Stegostoma tigrinum: one gene and its partners. The protein of the gene in region 3 interacts with the protein of the main gene of each other region in a biochemical or structural test. Links are inferred from orthologs where the notes say so. Each region holds a gene or a part of one and is shown on either strand. Other genes may lie near its edges.

Region 1 (7,549 bases), on a different chromosome or scaffold from region 3:
AAGAATCAAAACCATTGTCTCTTGATATTACCATTGCTAACTCTTCCTCTACGAAGATTCTAGGAGACACAATTGACATTCAACTGGCCTAACCATATAAATGCAGTGGCTACAAAAGCAGGTCAAAGGTTACAGATCTTGCAGCAAGTTACACATTTCCTAACTCTTCAAAGCCTGTCCACTGGCTACAAGGCACTAGTTAGGAGTGTGATGTTATACTGTCCACTTAACTAGATGGGTGCAGTTCCAATAACACTCGAGAAGCTTGGTATCCATCCAGGACAAAGCAGCCCCTACCTGATTGGCACCATATCCTCAAACACTCACTCTCTCCACCACCAACTCATAGCAGCAGTGTGTACTATCTGCAAGATGCACTGCAGAGATTCACCAAAGATCCTCAGGCAGCACCTTCCAAACCCACAACCACTTCCATCCAGGAGGACAGAAGGGCAGAAGATACATGGGACACCAACCCCTGCAAGTTCCCCTCCAAGTCACTCACCATCCTGATTTGGAACTAAATCACCATTCCTTCACCGTCATTGGGACAAAATCCCAAAGGGCATTGTGGGCATACCCACAAATCAAGCAGTTCAGGAAGGCAGCTCACCAGCACCTTCTCAAGGGCAATCCATGTTAAAGATGGGCACTTGGGGATGGGCACTCCCTAGTGGTATTATCACTAGAACAGCACCAGGCAGACCTGATGATGAGGTGCCAACCTGGTGAAGCCAAACAGGACCACTCGCACGCCAAACATCGTAAACAGCAAGTGATAAACAGAGCTAAACAACCTCACAACCAACAGATCTGCCTCTGCTAATCCCCATTGTTCCAGACTCCCCCATGTGAGGAAACATCCCGCCGACCTCTCACAAGCATCAACTCCTTCCTAGGAAGGGCTAAACTGCCCCTTTCTGTGTTAACACATAGAAAATTATCAAATATTTTCCTCAAGTCCCAACAAACGGCAACATTCACCTAAACTGTCCACCTGCTGCTTTTCCTCCAAAAATTCAATCAGAGAAGACCCAACCTTTGGAAAAGGTCATGTTTCTCGCTTTCTCAGACCCGACAGAAGTTTCTGTTCGTGATCAGCCTCTCTCCGCTGCATTATAGATTCTAATTACATTCTCATAAAGTAATTAAATGATAGATTCCAACGGCAGGACCACGTCAGATGCCAGGGTCCAGTGAGTCAATTAGTTCCTGGTTTCTCCTTGCCAATGATATGACCCTGCCTCAGCGACTGCTTTGGGAAGCGCTCTCTGCCCTGCCCTCTCCTGAGGACAGAGTTGGGGCTCGCTCTGGAGGCTCTAGGCTGCAGCTTGTTGTGGGCAATGGGGACGGACCACCCCCTCCTCCCCCCAAAACTACCTGCACGGGCACTGAGTGTGGTCTGCCCCCGGGGGAGTAGGGACACACACCAACACACTTCTGCCCCTGTTACTCACACGGACGATGTAGGAGACCCCGGGACCCAGGATCTTGGTATCTGGGTGTAACCAGCCTCCGGACGGTTTGTTGATGAAACTGCCTTTGCGATTCCACTCCCCCCCGGCCAAGCGCACTCCTTCCACCCGGACCCTCCGGCCACCCCCGGGCAGCCGTGCCGTGGCCTGGACAGAGCAGGGAGGGGGGCACAGCGAGTCACAGGATCCCAGGACAGTGGCCAGGCCGGGCCCCGGGGGGGGAGGCAGCCCTTTGGCCGGGTTCCTGCCTCCCGGCGACGCCGAGAATTTCCAGTGCGGGATTCTGGGGATGAGGGTGCAGAAGGTGGTGGAATCCTCCGGCTCTTCGGCCACGGGAGCTGCACCGAGCTGGCCGCTCATGGTCAGGCTGTGAAACAAGCCGCTTGCTGAGCTGGTCACCGACTCACTTCGAAACCGGCCATACTTCGGCTTCATCAGCGGAGCTGCCCCTCAGTGAAACCTCTCCACACTGAGACTGATCCTGTCCACACTCTCCTGCCCAGCCGCTGATGTCATTTGGGGAATTCATCATCCATTACCCAACAGCCAAACAGAGAGGGGGGGGTGGTCTGGGCACTCTCTCTCCCACTCACACAAACACACTCTCTCTCTCTCTCTCCCACTCTCACAAACACACTCCCTCTCTCTCACACAAACTCCCTCTCTCTCTCACACACACAGGGGCAGGAGACAGTCTGAGATCCCTCTCACAAACACACTCCCTCTCTCACACACGGGGCAGGAGAGAGTCTGAGATCGCTCTCTCTCACAAACACACTCCCTCTCTCTCACACACTCTCCCACTCTCACCAACACACTCCCTGTCTCTCACACACACACACACTCTCTCCCACTCTCACAAACACACTCCCTCCCTCTCACACACCCTCTCTCACACACACTCTCTCCCACTCTCACAAACACACTCCCTCCCTCTCACACACACTCTCTCTCCCTTCGCTCATAAACACACTCCCCCTCTCTCTCTATCACACACACACACGCACACGCACACACTCCCTCTCCCACACACCAACACACACACAGAGGCAGGAGAGAGTCTGAGATCGCTCTCCCTCACAAACACACTCGCTCTCTCACACAAAGGGGCAGGAGAGAGTCTGAGATCGCTCTCTCTCACACACACAGGGGCAGGAGAGAGCCTGAGATTCCTCTCTGTCACATACATTCCCTCTCCCTCAGATAAACACATTCCCTCTCCTTCACACACAGGGGCAGGAGAGAGTCTGAGATCTCTCTCTCTCTCTCTCTCTCTCTGCCTCTCTCTCACACACATACACCCTCTCTCTCTCACACGCACACACACACAGACACACACTCCCTGTCTCACATACATACACTCCCTATCTCTCTCTGTCTTTCTCTCTCTCATACACACACACTCTCTCTCTCCACGCACACACCCTCTCTCTTCCTCTCTCTCACACACACACACGGATACACACTCCTTATCTCTGTCTGTCTGTCTCTCTCTCTCTCTCTGTCTCTCTCTCTCCCACACACACACACACACACACACACACACACACACACACACACACACACACCCTATCTCTCTCTGAGATAATGGGAACTGCAGATGCTGGAGAATCCAAGATAATAAAATGTGAGGCTGGATGAACACAGCAGGCCAAGCAGCATCTCAGGAGCACAAAAGCTGACGTTTCAGGCCTAGACCCTTCATCTGATGAAAGGTCTAGGCCCGAAACGTCAGCTTTTGTGCTCCTGAGATGCTGCTTGGCCTGCTGTGTTCATCCAGCCTCACATTTTATTACCCTATCTCTCTTTGTCTCTCTCTCTCTCTCACACACACACACACACACACACACACACACACACACACACACTCCCTATCTCTCTCTGTCTCTCTCTCTCTCTCCCTCTCTCTCTCTCTCACTCACTCACACACACACACTCCCTATCTCTCTCTCTCTCACACACATACACACACACACGGGCAGGAATGCAGCAAGGAGGTGGTTGCGTTTGGTGTGGGCTGAACATTTTCCTGAATTTTTCTTCCTGTTGCATTTATCAACATCTCTGCCTCTGACATTTTTAGCTGATTGTATTTGCTCACTCTGATTGATTACAGAATCCTGTCCCAGTAAAATTGAGAATACAGGAACAGGCCAAGATTATTCCTCCCTTCTATCCTGTCCCACTGATTAGATTTTGCTTGGTCTCGGTTTAACTCCCAGTTTTTTGCATTGGTCTCATCACCCTGAGCTGTGGGGAGGGCAGTCTTGAACTTCAAGAGTAAAATAAAACAAAGAAGTGCAGGTGCTGGAGATCTGAAACCAAAACAGAAATCATTGAGAAAATTAGCAAGTCGGGCAGCTGCTGCGGAGAGAAAACAGTTAACATCATCATTTAAACTTCAAGAGGACATGGACAGTTTGGAGGAAAGGGCTAACAAATGGCGAATGAAATTTTAATGCAAACAAGCATGAAGTGATTTATTTTGGTACACAGAATATGGAGAGAAAATACAAAATAAAGGGCACAATTTTACAGGGATGAAGGTACTTGGATGTATACATGCATAGATCATTGGCTGTGTCAGGACAGGTTGAGAGCACAGTAAACACAGGACTGTGATCTGGTCTTTGTTGTTAGGGGCATGGAGTATAAGAGGAAGGAAGTGGTGTTAAATCGGTGATGAATACTGATTCAACCTCAGCTACGCCATTGTATTCAGTTCTGGGCATCACACTAAAGGAAGGACATCACCACATTGGAGAAGGCACAAAGAAGAACTTCAGTGATCTGGAGTAATTGGAAAAGCTGGGATCGTTTACATTGGAGAAGATTAAGAGGCAGTGAAAGTCCCGAGGGATCTGGGCAGGGTAAATATAGAGAAACTGTTCCTATTAGTCAAAGGATCAAGATCAAGAGAGCAGAGATTTAAATGATTCACAAAAGAAGGAAATGTGACATTTTTTATTCACTCATGAAATGTGGGTATTGCTGGTTGGGCCCAGCATTTCTTGTCCATCCCATGTTGCCCCTTGAGAAGGTGGTGGTGAGCTGCCTTATTGACCTGCTGCAGTCCATGTGCTGTAAGTTGACCCACAATACACTTAGGGAGGGAATTCCAGGATTCTGACTCAGCAGCACTGAAGGAATGATGATATAAAGTCAGGATGGTGAGTGGCTTGGAGGGGAACTTGGAGGTGGTGGTGTTCCCATGTATCTGCTGTCCTTGTCTTTCTAGATGGAAGTGGTCATGAGTTTGGAAGGTGCTGTCTGAGGATCTTTGGTGAATTTCTGCAGTGCATCATGTAGATAGTACACACTGCTGCAACTGAGCACCTGTGACAGCGAGAGTGGATTTTTGTGGATGTGGTGCCAATCAGGTGGGCTTTGTCCTGGATTGTGTCAAGATTTTTAAGTGTTGTTAAAACTGCACCCATCCAGGCAAGTGAGGAGTATTCCATCACATTCCTGACTTGTGCCTTGCAAATGATGACTTTGGGGAGTCAGGAGGTGAGTTACTTACCATTGTATTCCTAGTCTCTGGCTTGCCATTGTAGCCGCTGGATTTATATGGCTAGTCCGGTTCAGCTTTTGGTCAAAGCGCACTCCCGAGTACCTTGATGGTGGGGAATTCAATGATGGTAATGCCATTGAGTGCTGGGTGGCAATGGTTAGATTTGCTGTTGTTGGAGACTGCCTTGTATTTGGCCCAAACGTTATCTACCGTATACCAGATAAGTGCCAGACTCAGTTGAATGTGGACCTGATATCAAGGGTAGTCACTCTCACCACACACTTGGAATTCAGGTCTTTGTCCCTATTTGGATGAAAGCTGTACTGAGAGAGGGAACTGTGTGAGCGGCACAACCCAAACTGGCCATCAGTGAGTAGGCTCTTGCTAAGCATTATCAACTTTCAAAAGGACAAAAGAGAAGTCTGGATCAGGAACAGGCCTTTCGGCCCTCCAGGCCTGTGCTGATCATCATGCCCTGACTAAACTAAAGAACAAACATTCTGCCTTTATTTGGTCCATATCTCTCTATTCCCTCCCTATTCATGTAGCCATCCAGATGCCTCTTAAATGTTACCAATGTGCCTGATTCGACCTCCTCCTCTGGCAGTGCATTCCAGGCTCCTACCACTCTCTGCATGAAAAACTTCCCTCGCACATATCCCTTAAATTTTCCCCCTCTCACTTTGAACTTGCACCCCCTTGTAATTGAAACTTCAACCCCAGGAAAAGGTCTCTGACTACCCAAGCTATCTGTGCCTCTTATTATTTTGTACACCTCCATCAGGTCTCCTCTCAGCCGCTGTCTTTGAAGTGAAAACAATCCTCATCTTTTTAACCTTTCCTCATAGCCAATACCCTTGAGACCAGCCATAGTTCATCTGTCTTACCTGTTATACTTTTTGCATTGAAGTAAATACACTCCAGACCTCCAGTCCCTCCGAACCCTGTGACATCCCTCTGCTCGCTCTTACTCTGTGCGATGCATATCTCAGTCTCTCTTTTGTCCCGACTGCCTGCTCTTACTGGTCTGTTGTTCTGATCCCCTGCCCCAGCCCCTGCCACACTAGGTTAAACCACCCCCACCCGCCCCGCAGATCTGTAGCAAACCTCCCACCCAGGATATTGGTGCCCCACCAGTTAAGGTGCAACCTGTCATTTTTATCATTTTGCTGCTGCTCAATAGCAGAGGAGTAACTTTCCGCGTTGGAGTTGTCCTGGTTTCTGTCGTCATCAGAAAACACATTTCTGTACAGCGAGTGGCTTGGGTGCTTAAGTATGTGATGGAGGTAGCTTCAATTGAGGTATTCCCAAGTGAATTAGAAAGTTATTTGAAAAGGGCTACAGGGAGATGATACTAAATAGCACTGCTCCTTGTGAGGGTTTGCACAAATTTGATGGCCAAATGGTCTTGTTGTGTACTGTAACCACTTCGTGATTCACTCCTGACAAAATCAACAAACCTCAGTATCGGAGAGGGTTCCAGATTTCCACTCCTGTCTGTATGAGGAAGTGCCTCCTGACATCACCCCTGAACAGTCTGGCTCAAATTAAAAGGTGATTTCCTTCTGCTCTGGCCATTTCCCAACTACATCCCCACCCATCTCTATATAATGACCCAGTCATTATGCTCTTCAATCCTGGGTAGGTCTCCCCTTGACACAGTGCCAGTTATCAAACTCTGCTCCTTGGACCACAGCTCCCTTCTGTTATTCATTTCCCATCTGCTCTATTGCAGACAGCTGCATCTGTCAGGCTCTCATTTCTGTGCTCGGAAATTGCCCAGTCCTGAATGGGGACCTTTTGCCATTCTGACGCTGAAATACATTTAGCCAGAATGCTCACAGCCTTTTTGCTGCTTCAGCTGCCATTTACTTGCAACAGCAGGAGGCGGTGATTTACAGAATGGATGCAAACCTTATGGTTGGAATATTTTTAAGGAAGGTGAGGATTTAAGTATGAGAGTTTGCATCTTCCATCTCCCCACCATCAATGACCCTGCAACAGCTGTGTATGAAGCTGCATGAAAGAGCAGATCTGTAACTAGCACACAGCTGCTTCCATGTATCTGTCAACAATGACCAGCTTCCCATCTATTCAACTCAGTTTCAGTGGGAAACACTGTACATTGAGGGTTAAAACCATGGCTCAGGAGGACCACTCACTCTGCTTGGTCAGAATATAGTAGGTTCAAGGAATATGAATACATAATTCAGCTTGACAAGCCCCCCCAAGATGAAAACAGAAAGTGCCGAAGTAATTCAACAAGTTGGCAGCATCTGAGAAAAGAAAAACAGAGTTAGCGTTTTGAGTCCAACGTGACTCTTCACAAAGGAAAGGAATTGGAAAATGCTATTTTGTGTTATTGGCAGAGCAGGAAAAGGAGCAATTGGAACAGATTATGAGGTGCCCAAAGCAAAAGACTAAAGGAAAACTAATGGGCTAAAGGAGTGATTGAGGTGTAAGAAACAAGGAGGACAGAAGTCATGCTCTGAAGTTGTGAAACTCAGTATTGGGTCCTTGAGGCTGCCTCAGTGAAAAATGAGATGTTCCTTAAGCTTGT
Region 2 (7,207 bases), on a different chromosome or scaffold from region 3:
ATCCTGTCACTGAGGTAGAGATGTCTAACCATAGCGTCTGTTCTTCATCCCTGTGCTTACTGACCAACCACGACTCCGTGTTGACCAATGCCTTCATTTTTTAATTTTTATCCTCATTTTCAACCGCCTGCACCTCCCAAGACCTTTATCTCTTCCTGTTTTGTAACATTCTCCAACTCGACAACCTCAAGTTCTACTCCCATTCTGGCCACCAGATATGTTCACACTTTCCAGAGTTGGATTATGGGGAAAATTCTGCGGAGAATGTTCCAGCAGTCTGGTTAGGCCTAACATGAGGAAGCACCCTTTATACTGAGGTCTGTGTGAAATTAACGTGTTATTTTGGAGGTACACAAGGTTCCAAAGGTAGAAGTTAAGTGCTTAAGAGACAGAGGTTACCCGGGGTTTGAAGTTCAGCATCTGAGAGGATAAATTCACAAATGACCTAGTTCACTGCAAGAGTAGCCAGAGGCAGGAGGCAAGCAGAGGCATTCAACTGGCATCAGGCTTTCCAACAATGAGCCAGGGGAAAGCTTCGACTTGTCAATGATGTTGGGTTACGATTCAAACCGAAGAGCTGATTAGAGGTTAAGAGGTGCGTTGGGAAATCATGCCGATCACCACCAGTGGTTGGGTCAAATCTGATCTCATCCCTTGGATCGTATCACCAAGAGAAAGATCAGACTGAGGCAACTGCTGGAGATGTTGAATGTGCGTGAGCGTGTGATTAAAAAAAATACATAATCAGGCAGATGATTTGGCTGCCCAGATGGTAAAGGAGGGGTCAAGCATCTGCTGGAGAAGGATCAACCACGGAGACTGTAGCAAAAAGGTCATAGTGGAAGGGTGGAGGTGACAGAGCACCATGACTTGTTCCAGATTTCAGTTAGGGCTCTTACATTATCGTATAAAGAGCAGAAAAGCAGACTGGAGAGATTTTATCTGATTGCCTTTTATATTCAAATTGACAGGCTACAAACTCCATTCCACATTCACTGGATGCAGTGATCCATGCTAGATGCACCAGTGCACTGGTATAAGTCACACGCCTGCACAGTAACAGAATGTCAAATCTTATAGGAGAATATACCACAAAAGTACATATACAGGGAGGCGCCTCAGTACCATCTTCTCGAGGGCACTTGGGGTGGGTAATAAACCCAGCAGTATCCAGATCCAGTGAAAGAATAAACAAAGAGAATGGCCCACTTCCAACAACGACAGGAGTAAGGAAGTACATGCAGATCAGACCTGTCACTGGTCTCACTTGCATTTGCTTGTTACTGAAGCCAATAATGAAGAGGTGTAGGGGGTGTGTTGTGTAATGAACATCTAGCTCCACTGCAGTCAGAATCCCTTCACTCCATATCACATTGACGCTGAATGTGAGGCGATGACAGCAGCCTCAAATCCAGTCCAACCCACCCAACTACTAGACTCAAGATCACTGCTCAATCCCCAATCACTCCTCCACCTCAAAAGGTCACAGGCACGAAGACAGAGCCTTTACTCCACCCGCTGAGACCATGCACCTAAACAAAGAGCAGGGTTCAAATCTAAAACCCTCGTGACCTGAAAGACTGATAGTTTACCAGCTGCAGAGTTAACCTGCATACTGGTTTCACACGCCTCTCCTAAATTACTTCTTAAGGGTTTCTGAAGCCTTGGTCACATAATAAAGGAGCAGTATACCAGAGCTGCGACTCTGCCAGGAGCTGATTTGACAGAATTCACACTATTTCCAGAAATCGTCCTGAGTTTTAAACACTCTTCACAAAGCTTCAATTCACACCATCAGAGCAACCCACAACTTTTCACATTTCCAAGACGTGACCTATAACATGTCCTGTGGTAGGCTAGTATCTGCTCCAACATTGCAGTGGGGACAGCAGAATTTATGAAAGCCCGACATTACAATTCAGCTAGAAGTACAAAACCAGATAAAGCAAAAAAGATTCTTAAGCAGGCTTCTAAAGTTTTAGCCCATCTTTCTCTAATGCCGGTGATTCCGTGCTCCTGGATCATAATGTACCCTAGCTGGAATGGGAAAGGAGGTGAAGCTAGATATCAGGGTGTCATTTAATCCATAACCTTTAGATTAAGACCAGTATAAAGAGTACTGTGACTTCAGGGAGTCCCTGAGAGCCCAGAAAGAAGTATGCATCAAGCTGAACATACTTTACAATCCAAATTCACCACTTGATTTGATTTCTAGTATCTTGCAGTTTAAACACTTGTCTAAAATTTATTTTTGCTTTTTTATTATTACAATCATCTTCTCAAGCTCAAGCTTATTTATGCAAGAATAACACGGGACCAGCAGATAGCTGGTCAGACTGATTTGGAGGAAACTAAGAATAGGTTTCAAGCCATGGCAACAGTTCCAGACTGGATAAAATTAGCCTTTGCTACCAGTATTTTCTTTTTGCTCTCTTTCGTACAAATACACCCAAGGATCTGGAGCCAACTCAGAAAAGGTGCAAGCTTAGAGAATTTCCCCAAAGTGCTTCCGTCGACCTTGTCCATCCCAGCTCGAGCTCCGAGAGTTCGTCCAAACTTCCCCAAGAGTTTCTGAAAATTTCAGCTGGACTCCTGGTTTGAGGAAAGTCGCCCTCCCGCGCCACGTAAACTCCGTTCAAAATCTACCGAGAAACGCAAGAAAACGCGAAGGAAAAGTTTTTTTTGGTGGGATGGGGGGCGGTGGACGGTAGTGTGGAAACAGTTGTACTCACAGAAACAGAGAAGACAAGAACTTGGGTGAGGAGCCGCCAGTGAAGCAGCGACACTTTCCTCCGGCCCATTTCCCCTCTTCACGGATCTTTTCTGCCCCCTTTTCCCTCTCACCCCCACCACAATTTCTTTTTTTTAAAATCTCCCCCCGGTGATCGGCTGCCGGGGCTGGGAGGAGAAAGTCAGTCAAAATCCTTGAGTGGGGCCGCTCCCTGCTCTGTCCGAGGAGGACAGCCCAACTTTTCCTTTGCGCACAAAGTTCGCTCACTGCCTGAGCTCGGAGCCTCTGCCCAAAGCTCTCACTAAAACTCTCCCTGGATTTCCCCCAGGAGCGGATCCACTCCCTTCCACACTCTCTGGACTGGACTTTCAGGAGCTGGAGCTCACAGATTCCACACAGGGGGATGAGGCGGCTCTTCAGCCCCTCCGTTCTTCATTACCTGCATCAATACCACTTTCCCACACCCTTCCCTTATCTCATTAATGCCATTATCTGATACTGTTATTAGACTTGTCCTATACCTGCGCCATCTCTGTGGATGTAACGGTACATTCCGCATTCTGTTCTATTATCCTGGTGTACTTCCGTAAGGTAAGATTTGTCTGGTTAGCGTGCAAAACAATAGCTTTCACTGTATCCCAGTACACGTGAAAATAATTGTTTTTTTTATTCATTCATGAGAGCTGGCCAGCATTTATTTTCCATCCCAGAGGGCTGTCAAGAGTCAAAAACACTGCTGTGGGTCGGGAGTCACATGTAAGGATGGCAGATTTCCTTCTGTGAACAACATTGTTCAACCTGAGTGAACTAGATTGATCTTTCTTTATCAACCATGGATTCATGGCCATCAAATCCCTACAGTGTGGAAACAGGCCCATCGGCCCAACAAATCCATGCTGACCCTCAGAACAATCCATCCAAACCCATCCCCCTATAACTCACCTAATCTACACACCCCTGAACACTACGGGTAATTTAGCATGGCCAATGCACCTAGCCTGCACATCTTTGGACTGTTGAAGGAAACCTACGCAGACACATAGAGAATGTGCAAGCTTCACACAGACAGTTGCCCGAGGGTGGGTTCAAACCCAGGATCATGGCATTGCGCGCCTGCAGTGCTAACTGCTGAGCCACTGTGCTTGAACTCTTAATTCCTGATTTTCATTGACTTCTCACTCCACCATCTGCGATGGCTGGATTTGAACCCGGGTCCTCAGAACACTACCTGCGTCTCTGGATTAATAATCTAGTGATAATACAGCTAAGCCATTGCCTTCCCAATAATAAATAATAAGTAATAAATCAAACAAATAATGAATCAAATTGAATCATCTATCTGCACATACATATCAATCTCCCTCTTGAACTTGCTCAATGGTTGAGCTTCCACAGCCATGAGATATACAAGCAGAATTAGGCCAGACTGTCGAGTCTGTTCTGCCATCCAACGAGATCATGACTGATCTGTAAATCCTCACTACTTTTCTGCCTTTTCCCCATAATCCTTGATTCCCTTGCTGATTTTTTAAAAACTGTCTATATCAGCCTGGAATATACCTGTCTAACCAACTTCGACAGTCCTTAGCAGTGAAGATTACAACACATTCACTACACTCAGCAAAAAAAAAGCCACCTCATCTCGGTTTTAAGTGAACTACCCCTTACTCCGTAGTTATGCCATCTGGTCCTAGACTGTCCCCAAGGGGGAAACAACCTTTCTGCATCTAGCCTATCAAGCCCTGATATATTTTGTATATTTAATATCTTGTATATTTCTGTAAAATCTCCTCTCATTTGTCTAAACTACAATCAGTACAGACCAATCTACTCAACTCTTCTCCATACCCAGAAACACCCTAGTGAACCTTCTCTGGACTACCTCCAATGCTAATACATCTTTCTTCCTTCTCCCACGTCCAAACTATTGAACCCTGCAAGGATTCTGCACATTTCAATGAGATCACACTTTATTATTCAAAACTCTAGAGAATATGGACCCAGACTTCTCAATCTCTCCAACATCCTAAGCATCAATGTCAAGAACCTCCAATTCACTCCCTGTATGATATGAATGTTTTTCCTTGGGTAACGGGACCAAAACTGCACTGAGAATTCAAAATAAGGTGGCAATTCCTTCACGATTGACAGTGGGTTCAACCTTTCCATCCTGTCCAGAACACCTCATGATTTTGAACACTTTTCAGCCCTCTATCCTACAAGGACAACAGTCCCAACTTCTCTTAATGAAGTTCCTCATCCCTGAAACCATTCTTGTGAACATTGCCCACAACCTAGGAAGACCCTGAAGAACATTAATAAACTAGATGGGTTTTACCAGCAATGGTTTCATGGTCATCATTAGACTCTTAATCCCAGTTTTTCTAAAATTGAATTCAATTTCCACCATGACGGGATTCAAAGCCGGGTCCCCAAAACATTATCTGGTTCTCTGGATTAACAGTCCAACAATAATACCACTAGGCAATAGCCTCCCCTCAGAGTTAAAACATCCAGTCCCACTTCACAAAATACCTAAGGGAGTGCTATGCTAGCAGAGGTATCATCTTTCAGAAAAGTTGTTAAACAGAGCTTGTATTTATCTTGCTTTTCTGGACAAATAGCATTATTTGAAACATTCTCCCCATTTCCTCAAAAAGAATAAGAATTTGAATTTGTATAGTGCCTTCCGGACACCTCAAAGTGCTGCATAATCAATCAAGTACTTTTAAAGTGTGGTCATTGTTGGTCCCAAATGTGTACAAAGCAAATTCTCACAAGCAGCAATATGATAATGATTATATAATTTGTTTTTGGGATATTAATTGAGGGATGAATTTTGGCCAGAGTGGGAATAACTCTCCTTGTCTTCTTTATAAATAGTAGCATGAGATCTTTTATATCCTCCTGAGATGGCAGACGACACCTCAGTATCACATTTCATCCAAAGGAAGGCACTTCTTACCATACAGCATTTGACATTTATGCTCAAGGACTTGAATCCACTCTGACAGGAGAAGATATGACTAACTGAGCCATGGCTGATGCTCAGATTTTATGAATAATTATCATAAAATCCCAACAGTGCAGAAAGAGACCATTCAGCCCATTGAGTCTACACAGACCCTCTGAAAAGCATCCTATCCAGACACAGCCCCATACAACGTAACACCACATTTATCATGAATAACCCATCTGGCATGCACATCCTTGGACGCTATGGGGCAATTTACATAAAAACCAAAAGAACTGCAGATGCTGTAAGTCAAGAACAAAAACAAAGTTGCTGGAAAAGCTCAGCATCTGTGAAGGAGAAAACAGAGTTAACGTTTTGGGTCCGGTTACCCTTCCTCAGAACGAGGCAATTTAGCATGGCTAATCTACACAGAGAGGATGGCACAGTGTCTTAGTGGTTAGCCCTGCAGCCTCACAGCGCCAGGGACCCGGGTCAGATTCCAGCCTCGGGCGACTGTCTGTGTGGAGTTTGCACATTCTCCCTGTCTCTGTGTGGGTTTCCTCCGGATGCTCCGATTTCCTCCCACAGCCCAAAGATGTGCAGGTTACGTGGATTGGCCATGGGAATTGCAGGTTTAAAGGGATAAGGTAGTGGTGGGTCTGGGTGAGATGCTTTTCAGGGAGTCAATTCTTACTTGTTGAGCTGAATGTCTCTTTCTGCATTGTAGCGATTCTGTGATCTTTGGACTGTGGGAGGAAATGGGAACAGCCAGCAGAAACACATACAGACAGGGGGAGCTACAGAATCATACAGCATGGAAACAGATCCTTCAGCCCAATTAATCCATGCATAACATAGTCCCAAACTTAACCAATCTCACCTGCATGCTCCTGGCACATATTGCTCCAAACATTTCCTATTCATGTACTTATCCAAATGCCTTCTAAACTTTGTAACTGTGCCCACATCCACCACTTCCTCAGGAAGTTCATTCCACACATGAAAAAAATTTGCCCCCCTAGTCTTTTTTAAATCCCTCTCCTTTCACCTTAAAAATGTGCCCTTAGTCTTAAAATCCCCATCCGAGAGAAAAGACAACTATCATTAACTCTGCCTATACCCGTCATTATTTTGTAAATTTCTCAATCCCCTATGATCCAGTGATAAAAGTCCCATCCTATCCAGCCTTTATTGATAAATCAAACCTCCCAGACACAGCAACATCCCGGTAAATTTCTTCTTAATCCTCTCTAGCTTAATAATATGCTTCCTATAACTGGAGTCATACGTAGGCCAGACTAGGTAAGGATGGCAGTTTCCTTCCCTAAAGGGCATTAGTGAACCAGATGGGTTTTTTACAACAATTGACAATGGATTCATGATCAGCATTAGACTCTTAATTCCAGATATTTATTGAATTGAAATTCCACCATCTGCTGTGGCAGAATTCGAACCCAGGTCCCGAGAACATTAGAGATAATGGGAACTGCAGATGCTGGAGAATCCAAGACAACCAAGTG
Region 3 (7,430 bases):
AAATTTCTTCACATGGCAACATCGACAAAAATAAAAAAAGGTAAATAATAACGGACCTTTACAAAGCCTTTCAAACACAAAATTGTGTATGGTTCATTTAATGGCAAAATGGTACGTTATATAAAAGACTGCGTTTTTTAAATGAAGATTTCCTTCTATCCAGCAACCAGATCACGGTTGTTACGACAATCGCTGACAGTGACACCCCGAAATGTGAATGGTATTTATTTTTATCCTGCTGTACAGGTATGCTGTATGCTGTCAGTCCATCTAATAAGGCTGCGGGAGGAGTGTGCAGGTCTGCTGGGTCCAAATGCTGATCTAAGTTCAATTTAAAGTATACAGAGATTCGCCTCGTTAGAAAGTCTGTCAGAGGGGACTTGCACTTATTGCCCAACAGATTTCCTCTGAACAGCAACTGCTCCCACGTCTCCTGCCCGTCTGTCATGAGCTACTTCAGGGAAACAATCCGTGTTGATAGCAGACTTCAGTAATCCTATCCACCTTGCCTCCTTCCACCCTTCCCCCCAACCCTCTAGCACCATTTACCCACCATTTACCTTTAATTAGCTACCAGGGAACTGCACTGACATTAAAACCTTGTAAAAATGAATCGCGGTAACCGCCCCAGGTCACTTTTCAATTTCCTTTTCTAGGAATACATTATGAAAAATGGCAGTTTTAAATCAAATTATTTTGTTTTCGTTCCTTTCCTTTCACAGGCCAAATTAGGTGCATGAATTATGATTTCAAGCGAGAGATGCTGGATCCAGGCACATAAAATCGAGATATATTTGAACGGTTCGTAAAACTGGGAGTGGTATTACTCAAGGGTCCGGGCTTTAATGGTTGGATATCATACGTAGTATGAGCAGTGGGTTTGCTCCCAGCAAGAGCGACTTGTGTTTAGGTAGGAGTGCGATCGGGACCCCATTATACTCCAGATGACAGAACAAATAGGAGCAGGAGTCGGCCATTCAGTCCCTCAAGCCTGTCCCCTCCATTATATAAAATGTCTGTCCCAGTTGTCAACTCCACTTTCGTGTCAGATTGTCATTGCCCTCAAATCCTCGACTTATTTCTTTTTTTTAATATATCTATCTAACCCCTCTTTATACCGATAAAGTTTCGGTTTGTTTTTCCTACGAACGTTCCTCTCCAACATTTATAGGGATCTCGGAGAGAATGGCCACCATGAAACGTGACTTCAGTCCGTAATGCTGCTACCCAGATTGTGAAGAATATCCTGGGAGAGAAGTTGAACTTGACAGCGAGTTCCACCATTTGTTTCGAAAGCCGATGGGGCTGCGTACCAGTAAAAGATATGCCTTCGGTCACCTGTCGTTCCTTTTTACCTCCCAGAAATCTCCATCGCACTTCCCCCGGCCGCTGGGCCCATCTCCACTTCCCAGCAGCTTCCTGAGCGGTGTAAAAGCTGAGCTCCTAAGGGAAGCGGCGTTCCCCCTGACTGATTTCAGTTCACAGTACTATTCCGCCCAGTTTTCACCAGGTTATGTTCTTGGGATAACTCATTTCACAATGGACCACCTATAAAAGTCCATACCACAAACTGAACCAGCAGCCAGAGTATTTACTTTTAACATAAATGAACTGCCGAACTGCCGTTCAATTTTATCCACAAGCTTTCGGCTTCAATACTGCATGACAGTACAGTCAGCAGAAGAGGACACTCGGTGAAATATAAATGGGCAGTAACCCATTGTAAATCACAGATCATTACAAAGTTTGCACTGAAATTCACAGTTGTCCAACTATTAACTAATCTTTGTATTTCACCGAACGGAGAATTCAAAGCGAATCCCAAGCCATCACAAAGACACACCAGATTCCTGTCATTTGTTAGATCCTGAGAATCTGAGCCGAGGGTTTCAGTGGTGCAGTTAGTGTCCCTACCTCTGAACCAGGAGGCCTGGGTTCAAGTCCCACCTACTGCAAAAATATATCTAAGTGATAGCATCTCTTGAATGGGTTGTTTAAATTTTTTTGTAATCTCACCCTCGGGCTCTTGTACTAGATAGCGTCCCTACCTCTGGGCTAGGAGGCGCGGGTTTAATTACCACCTGCTCCAGCGCTGTGTAACAGGATAATTAGAAAAGTCTAACCCTGAGCCTGCAGTGGGCTGTTAATTGGAACTAACCAGGGCACTACAAATGATTTGAAGCTCGACGTCTAAAGCTGCTTCATACAACGAGAAGGTTGAGTCTGCTTGGCTACTATCTGTTAGGGCTAACGTACCATTTATTTTTGTTCAATGAGATTTATCAAGTTATAGGTCGGACCCCCTGGTTCTGAATACAGTGGACGCCTCACATAGTCATTTTTATAATCTCAAAAAAGCATTCCCTGTGCCTTAGACTCAGTTATGTTTCTAACGAAATGTAATAGCACATGGAGTTAAATTCCGATAGAATACGTAATAATTGCACAATATTTTCTATAATTAGAAAACTACCTCAAATTTGCATTATAAAGTGCTTGCATTTTCTACAACGATTCAAGTTGAATTGTGCTCTGAATTCTTCAATTTGAATTTCTTGACATTCAATCCTACACACTACTTTGCCAGGTTAGTCTGCAAAACGCCCTCTCACCCGTTGCATTAGGAAATCCCGTCCACAGCCATACCAACAGCGCGAAAACCCACTTCTTCCACATGTCACAGTGGGAATGCCGGAATCCCAATGAACGTGGTCTCCCGTTGCTGTGCCAATCTGCTTCCTTTGTCAATATTCGCTGCTTCTCACAGCCTTATGTTCTTGCAGTCGATCGGACGGCGGAACATGTTAAAGTCACCTTTCAATGACTGAGGGTTAATAGGAATTCTGCAAAAGCCACTCGTGATAATCCAGGAGCTTTTCCTCTGATTTAGTCCGCCCTGAAAAGGAAGCTGCTGTAATTTTGAGGTCAGTTCAATGTGTGTCAAGTGGACATGGCAATTTGTGGATTATATACGGGAGGAGGTGCCGAACCATGAAAGTTGATCCATTCGTCACGTGACGTGACGGCGCTGTTGATCCTTAAACATCCCGAACAACCGGGAAAGTTATCACAAAATTGCAGTTCCTTGCGGGTGAAAACATGTTAGCACATATTGTTGAAAAAAATTGATTAGAACAATTCTACAACACGAACCTATAATTTTCTACATGTCGCAAGCATATACCACCACGCCTCATTAATAGTGTTTGGAAGCGAAAATAAATTTTATGGATTCCATTAAATTTTGCAAAGCCAGGAAGGGCAACGTGAAATATGCAGCTGAGCCTATGTGTATATTTGTTGTCGTCTCTAAATGGCGTTTACAGTTTTTCTTTTATTCATTCACGGAATAAGGATGTCGCCGGGCAGGCAGCATTTTATTGCCCAGAGGGCAGTTAAGAATCAACCACATTGCTGTGGGTCTGGAGCCACAGGTAGGCCAGCAATTTCCTTCACGAAAGGGCGTTAGTGAACCAAATGGGTTTTCCCCCGACAATAGGCAACGGATTCATAGTCATCATTGGATTCTTCATTTCCAGGTATTTAGTGAATTCAAATTGCATCAGCTGCCCTGGCGGGATTCGAAAGAAGATCCTCAAGACATCAGCTGGGTCTCCGGGTTAACAGTCCAGTGATAACACCACTAGGCCATTGCCTCCTCTTTTCGTCGGGAGTCGAACAGTGAGATGGTTAAATAGTATTTAGCACTTCTTGGCACAAAAAATAACCATTTACTGCCCAGTCATTTACTTTTCTAATTGAACGTATAAGCAGTTCTGAAGAAGGGTCACTGGACCTGAAACTACTTTCTCTTCAGAGATGCTGCCAGATCTGCTGAGTGTATCCAACAATTGCTCTTTGTGTTTCTCATTTCTAGCATCTGCAGTTCTTTCGAGATTTTGTTTTGACAACGGCAGTGCTGGGGTGGAAGTTGTTTGAATTTGAGCGTAGAGTTAGCTCTGAACTTTTCTCGAGGTATTTAGATGTGCCGAAGTGATGCCAAGGCTTTCAAGACAACGGGCCCAGTGCTGGAAAATGAGATTAGAATAATTCAGTGAGTGCTATTGACAGGTGCAGGCTGGGTAGGCCTTAGGCCTATTTTCTGTATTGCAGATCACATGCTACATCTGCTAATGAATTACGAAATCTTGGATTTAGCTGCATCAATTCGAAGTACTACCTTTTCCAGAGACACTTGAATATCAGGAGCATAAAATACATGAGATTCGACTTCACGTAATTTATTTTCAATACGTCAGTTATCTCCAGACAGCAGCTTTTTTTAAATTTAATTCCAAACAATAGCAATGTTTTACTTTAAATGCGAAAAGATTTATACATGCCCGTGACTCAGCCTTGCTTTCCCATCATACTTTACAAAAACGTTGTCATGTTGGTGAGTTCACTTTCCTGCTGCCCTTCCTTTATGAATTATTGCATCTACGCCCGCTACAATTCATTATAATTGTGCGTTTGCCAGCAAGGACACTCTTAAGATCGTGTCTTTGCTCCCGATCCTCTGACCCGTGAGTCAAACGCGATGACTGCAATAAATCTACAGAGAGCAGAGCAAGGATATCATTTCAGATGCACCTCATAGAACAAAACTATCGGTCATTTGGCAGAGTGGGCAGTGACTGGGTCTCATGAGCTGTAGTTTGTGAGACAAACAGAGAAAGGAGATGTGTGGCTGGGAAAGGCTGCAATGTTGGAGAAGTGCAGAAGTAGCGCGATGCCCATGTCAGTATTGATTTCCGGTGTTTTAGCAGGATGTCTTCAACTTTACCGCTATCTACACACCTCACAGCACCCCCTCATTGCATTGACGAGCAGTGGACACAAAAACCTGATTAGAAAAAGAGCAATCATTCGAGCTGCCACAGCAGTCTCGGCTAGAGATGTGGCTGACACCTGCAAGTCCCTACAGCACCAGGCTCTCGATCTGAGTCATGCTAGTGAGAGGAAACGCTGAGTTTGTTCTCCTTGGTATACACAACCTGTCTGGATGCAGGATTGTTTTATACATGTACTGTTTTGTACAAATACATTTCTGCTTTGCACGGCAATGCAAACAGATGACTCAAACCTCATTCAACACCCGTGGTAGCAAACAAATCTGTTACCTTACATTCGCAAGTCAGTTGTTTGCCTATAGTGCACGTGGGATATCAAGAACTACACTCTATACTGTGTAAGAATTCCTAATATCGAGGCTGCTTTGAGACTTTGAAGAAGAGCATATGTTCCATTCAAATCGACAGGAGGGATTGCTGTTGTATCTCTATACAGAACAATGTGAAGCTAACAGGAGTACAGTATGCCGCTTCTGAGACAGTCAGACTAGAGTTGTCGTGTTTATGTCAATGAGAGGGTAGTCACCGCCTTCAGTTGTACACAGAATGATGCAGGAATTTATCACCGGCATGAGTCACCAAATTCAGGAGGGGAAAGAAAATCAAGAAGAAAAGCGGAGATCTACAGAACAATTAAAAGAAGCTGCATACAACTTCCGAAGAAAGTAAAAGTTTTCAATTGTTATCGCCATTCAGGGTTAAACTTTCAGGCCGATGAGCTTTAGCCCAGAATTTCGCGACCTGGAATGTAAATAGTTTCCCCTTTTCTAGATGTTGCCCGGCCTCGCTGAGTATATGAAGAAATTTCTATTCGTGTTTTGGCTTCCAGCTTCCGCAATATTTTGCGTTTACAGTGAATTCAAACCTAGTTACAGACAATACAGCGCGGAGTTGTCTCTGACTCCAGCACCTGCAGTTCTTGCTACTCCTTCCTAGTTACATTGGGATGGTCAGAGTGCGAGCAGCTAGCTCAGAGGTCAGCAGCGGATAGGCCCGGAACCCGAGATAATAAAGTGTGAAGCTGGATGAACACAGCAGGCCAAGCAGCATCTCAGGAGCACAAAAGCTGACGTTTCGGCCCTAGATCCTTCATCAGAGAGGCCATGCTATTCTTTCGGTTGAGCAGTTTGCACGCTCCTCATGAGTGTGCAAAGGGTGGGATGATCGTGGCAGCGGAGTTTTATTTGAATTTTCAAGACCTTCAGGCAATAAACTTTACTCGTCAGCTTGCAAGTGCAGAGGTGGCTGGATTGAGGCAAGAACTGGACTTTGCTTATCTCTCTCTAACACTCAAACGGAAGCTGCTCCAAGTTGATGTGGTCAAACACTAAAATATGACCCTAATTAAGACCCACTCCGTCCTTATCGAGTTCCCAGAAGCTAGTCATTCAAGGCAACACAATTCCAAACACACTACAAACGGTACACACGCTGTTTAGTTTCCATCATGTGTCTTAGTGATGTAAATAGTTTACATGATTTGCCCAATTTTTATAAATCTATCAACTCTCCAAGTGTGGAAAACCACAGAAAACAATCCCACAGACTCCCTCACAGATTTGTTTTTCAATCATAAGCTGCTGCGCTGCTGACTATATATTATGACTTTATTTGTCAAGAACAGCAATCTTTAGAACGAACAGGAGGAGATTGACTCTATGACTGTCTTAGGGTCATATGTTCCGCCGAGGTTTACACAAGACCCAACTGTTTCACATTAAATCAAGCAAGCTATTATAACACATCGGAAAAAGCTGCCTTCACTTAAGTGCTTTTTTTTCCACAATGGGAGAGACTTCCTGTTCGAACGAATGTTTTGTTCGTCTTGCAGATGATCCCCCGCAGTCACGCCCGACCAGTTTCTGTCACGATTTCCAGTTGAGTAAAGAACTTGTTGAATTTCTGGTTCTCTGTTAGATAAGCACGAGGCGCGGCGCATATCGTTTGTGTGCTCCATTCCTTCTTGCCTGGCTCTTATCAACATGAAAAAACAAACTTTTAGGTCACGTGAAAACTGTGATGGCAGTATTGGAAGAGTTGCATGCCGAATATAGTCCAGGAGTTAATTCCCCTGATTGTGAGCAGTACCCGCTCCGACAGACTCCATGCGATTTTCTGCCTGGTCATTTTAAATATTTGGAAAATTATGTATAACGTGGCTCTGGAAATGCCGGTGCAAATTCCAGCGCGACACACGCTCTATTGTTTGCAACTGGTTAAACTACAGTTTCCCCAGAATCAAACTTTGTGTTAATCTTCACAAGGAGGGTAGGAAAGCTGGTAGGAGATAATGGGAACTGCAGATGCTGGAGAATCCGAGATAACAAAGTGTGGAGCTGGATGAACACAGCAGGCCAAGCAGCATCTTCGGAGCACAAAAGCTGGCGTTTTGGGTCTAGACCCCTGGCCCTTCGGCCTTGGACGTTGTGAAACCAAACTGAAGCCCATCTAACCTACATTATTCCATTATCATCCATATGTTTATCCAAGGACCGGGTGGGGAGAGGATTCTGAAATAAATAGGGAGAGAGGGGGAGGCCGACTGAAGATAGGTAGAGGAGAAGATAGGCGGAGAGG

The links.
Region 1: the proteins of kdr (region 3) and shc2 form a complex in vitro, tested with the Homo sapiens proteins (2 studies listed by BioGRID). The link is inferred for Stegostoma tigrinum from reciprocal best matches to the Homo sapiens genes KDR and SHC2.
Region 2: the proteins of kdr (region 3) and hspg2 form a complex in vitro, tested with the Homo sapiens proteins (2 studies listed by IntAct). The link is inferred for Stegostoma tigrinum from reciprocal best matches to the Homo sapiens genes KDR and HSPG2.

Annotation. Positions count from the first base shown.
Region 1 is NC_081383.1:1,006,847-1,014,395, forward strand, and holds the start of shc2 (SHC-transforming protein 2), read right to left. Parts: upstream 3,012-7,549; 5' UTR 1,911-3,011; coding exon 1,458-1,910; intron 1-1,457. UniProt on the Homo sapiens protein: Signaling adapter that couples activated growth factor receptors to signaling pathway in neurons. Involved in the signal transduction pathways of neurotrophin-activated Trk receptors in cortical neurons.
Region 2 is NC_081381.1:44,944,494-44,951,700, reverse strand, and holds the start of hspg2 (basement membrane-specific heparan sulfate proteoglycan core protein), read right to left. Parts: upstream 3,012-7,207; 5' UTR 2,802-3,011; coding exon 2,733-2,801; intron 1-2,732. UniProt on the Homo sapiens protein: Integral component of basement membranes. Component of the glomerular basement membrane (GBM), responsible for the fixed negative electrostatic membrane charge, and which provides a barrier which is both size- and charge-selective.
Region 3 is NC_081354.1:108,373,755-108,381,184, forward strand, and holds the start of kdr (vascular endothelial growth factor receptor 2), read right to left. Parts: upstream 3,003-7,430; 5' UTR 2,677-3,002; coding exon 2,613-2,676; intron 1-2,612. UniProt on the Homo sapiens protein: Tyrosine-protein kinase that acts as a cell-surface receptor for VEGFA, VEGFC and VEGFD. Plays an essential role in the regulation of angiogenesis, vascular development, vascular permeability, and embryonic hematopoiesis.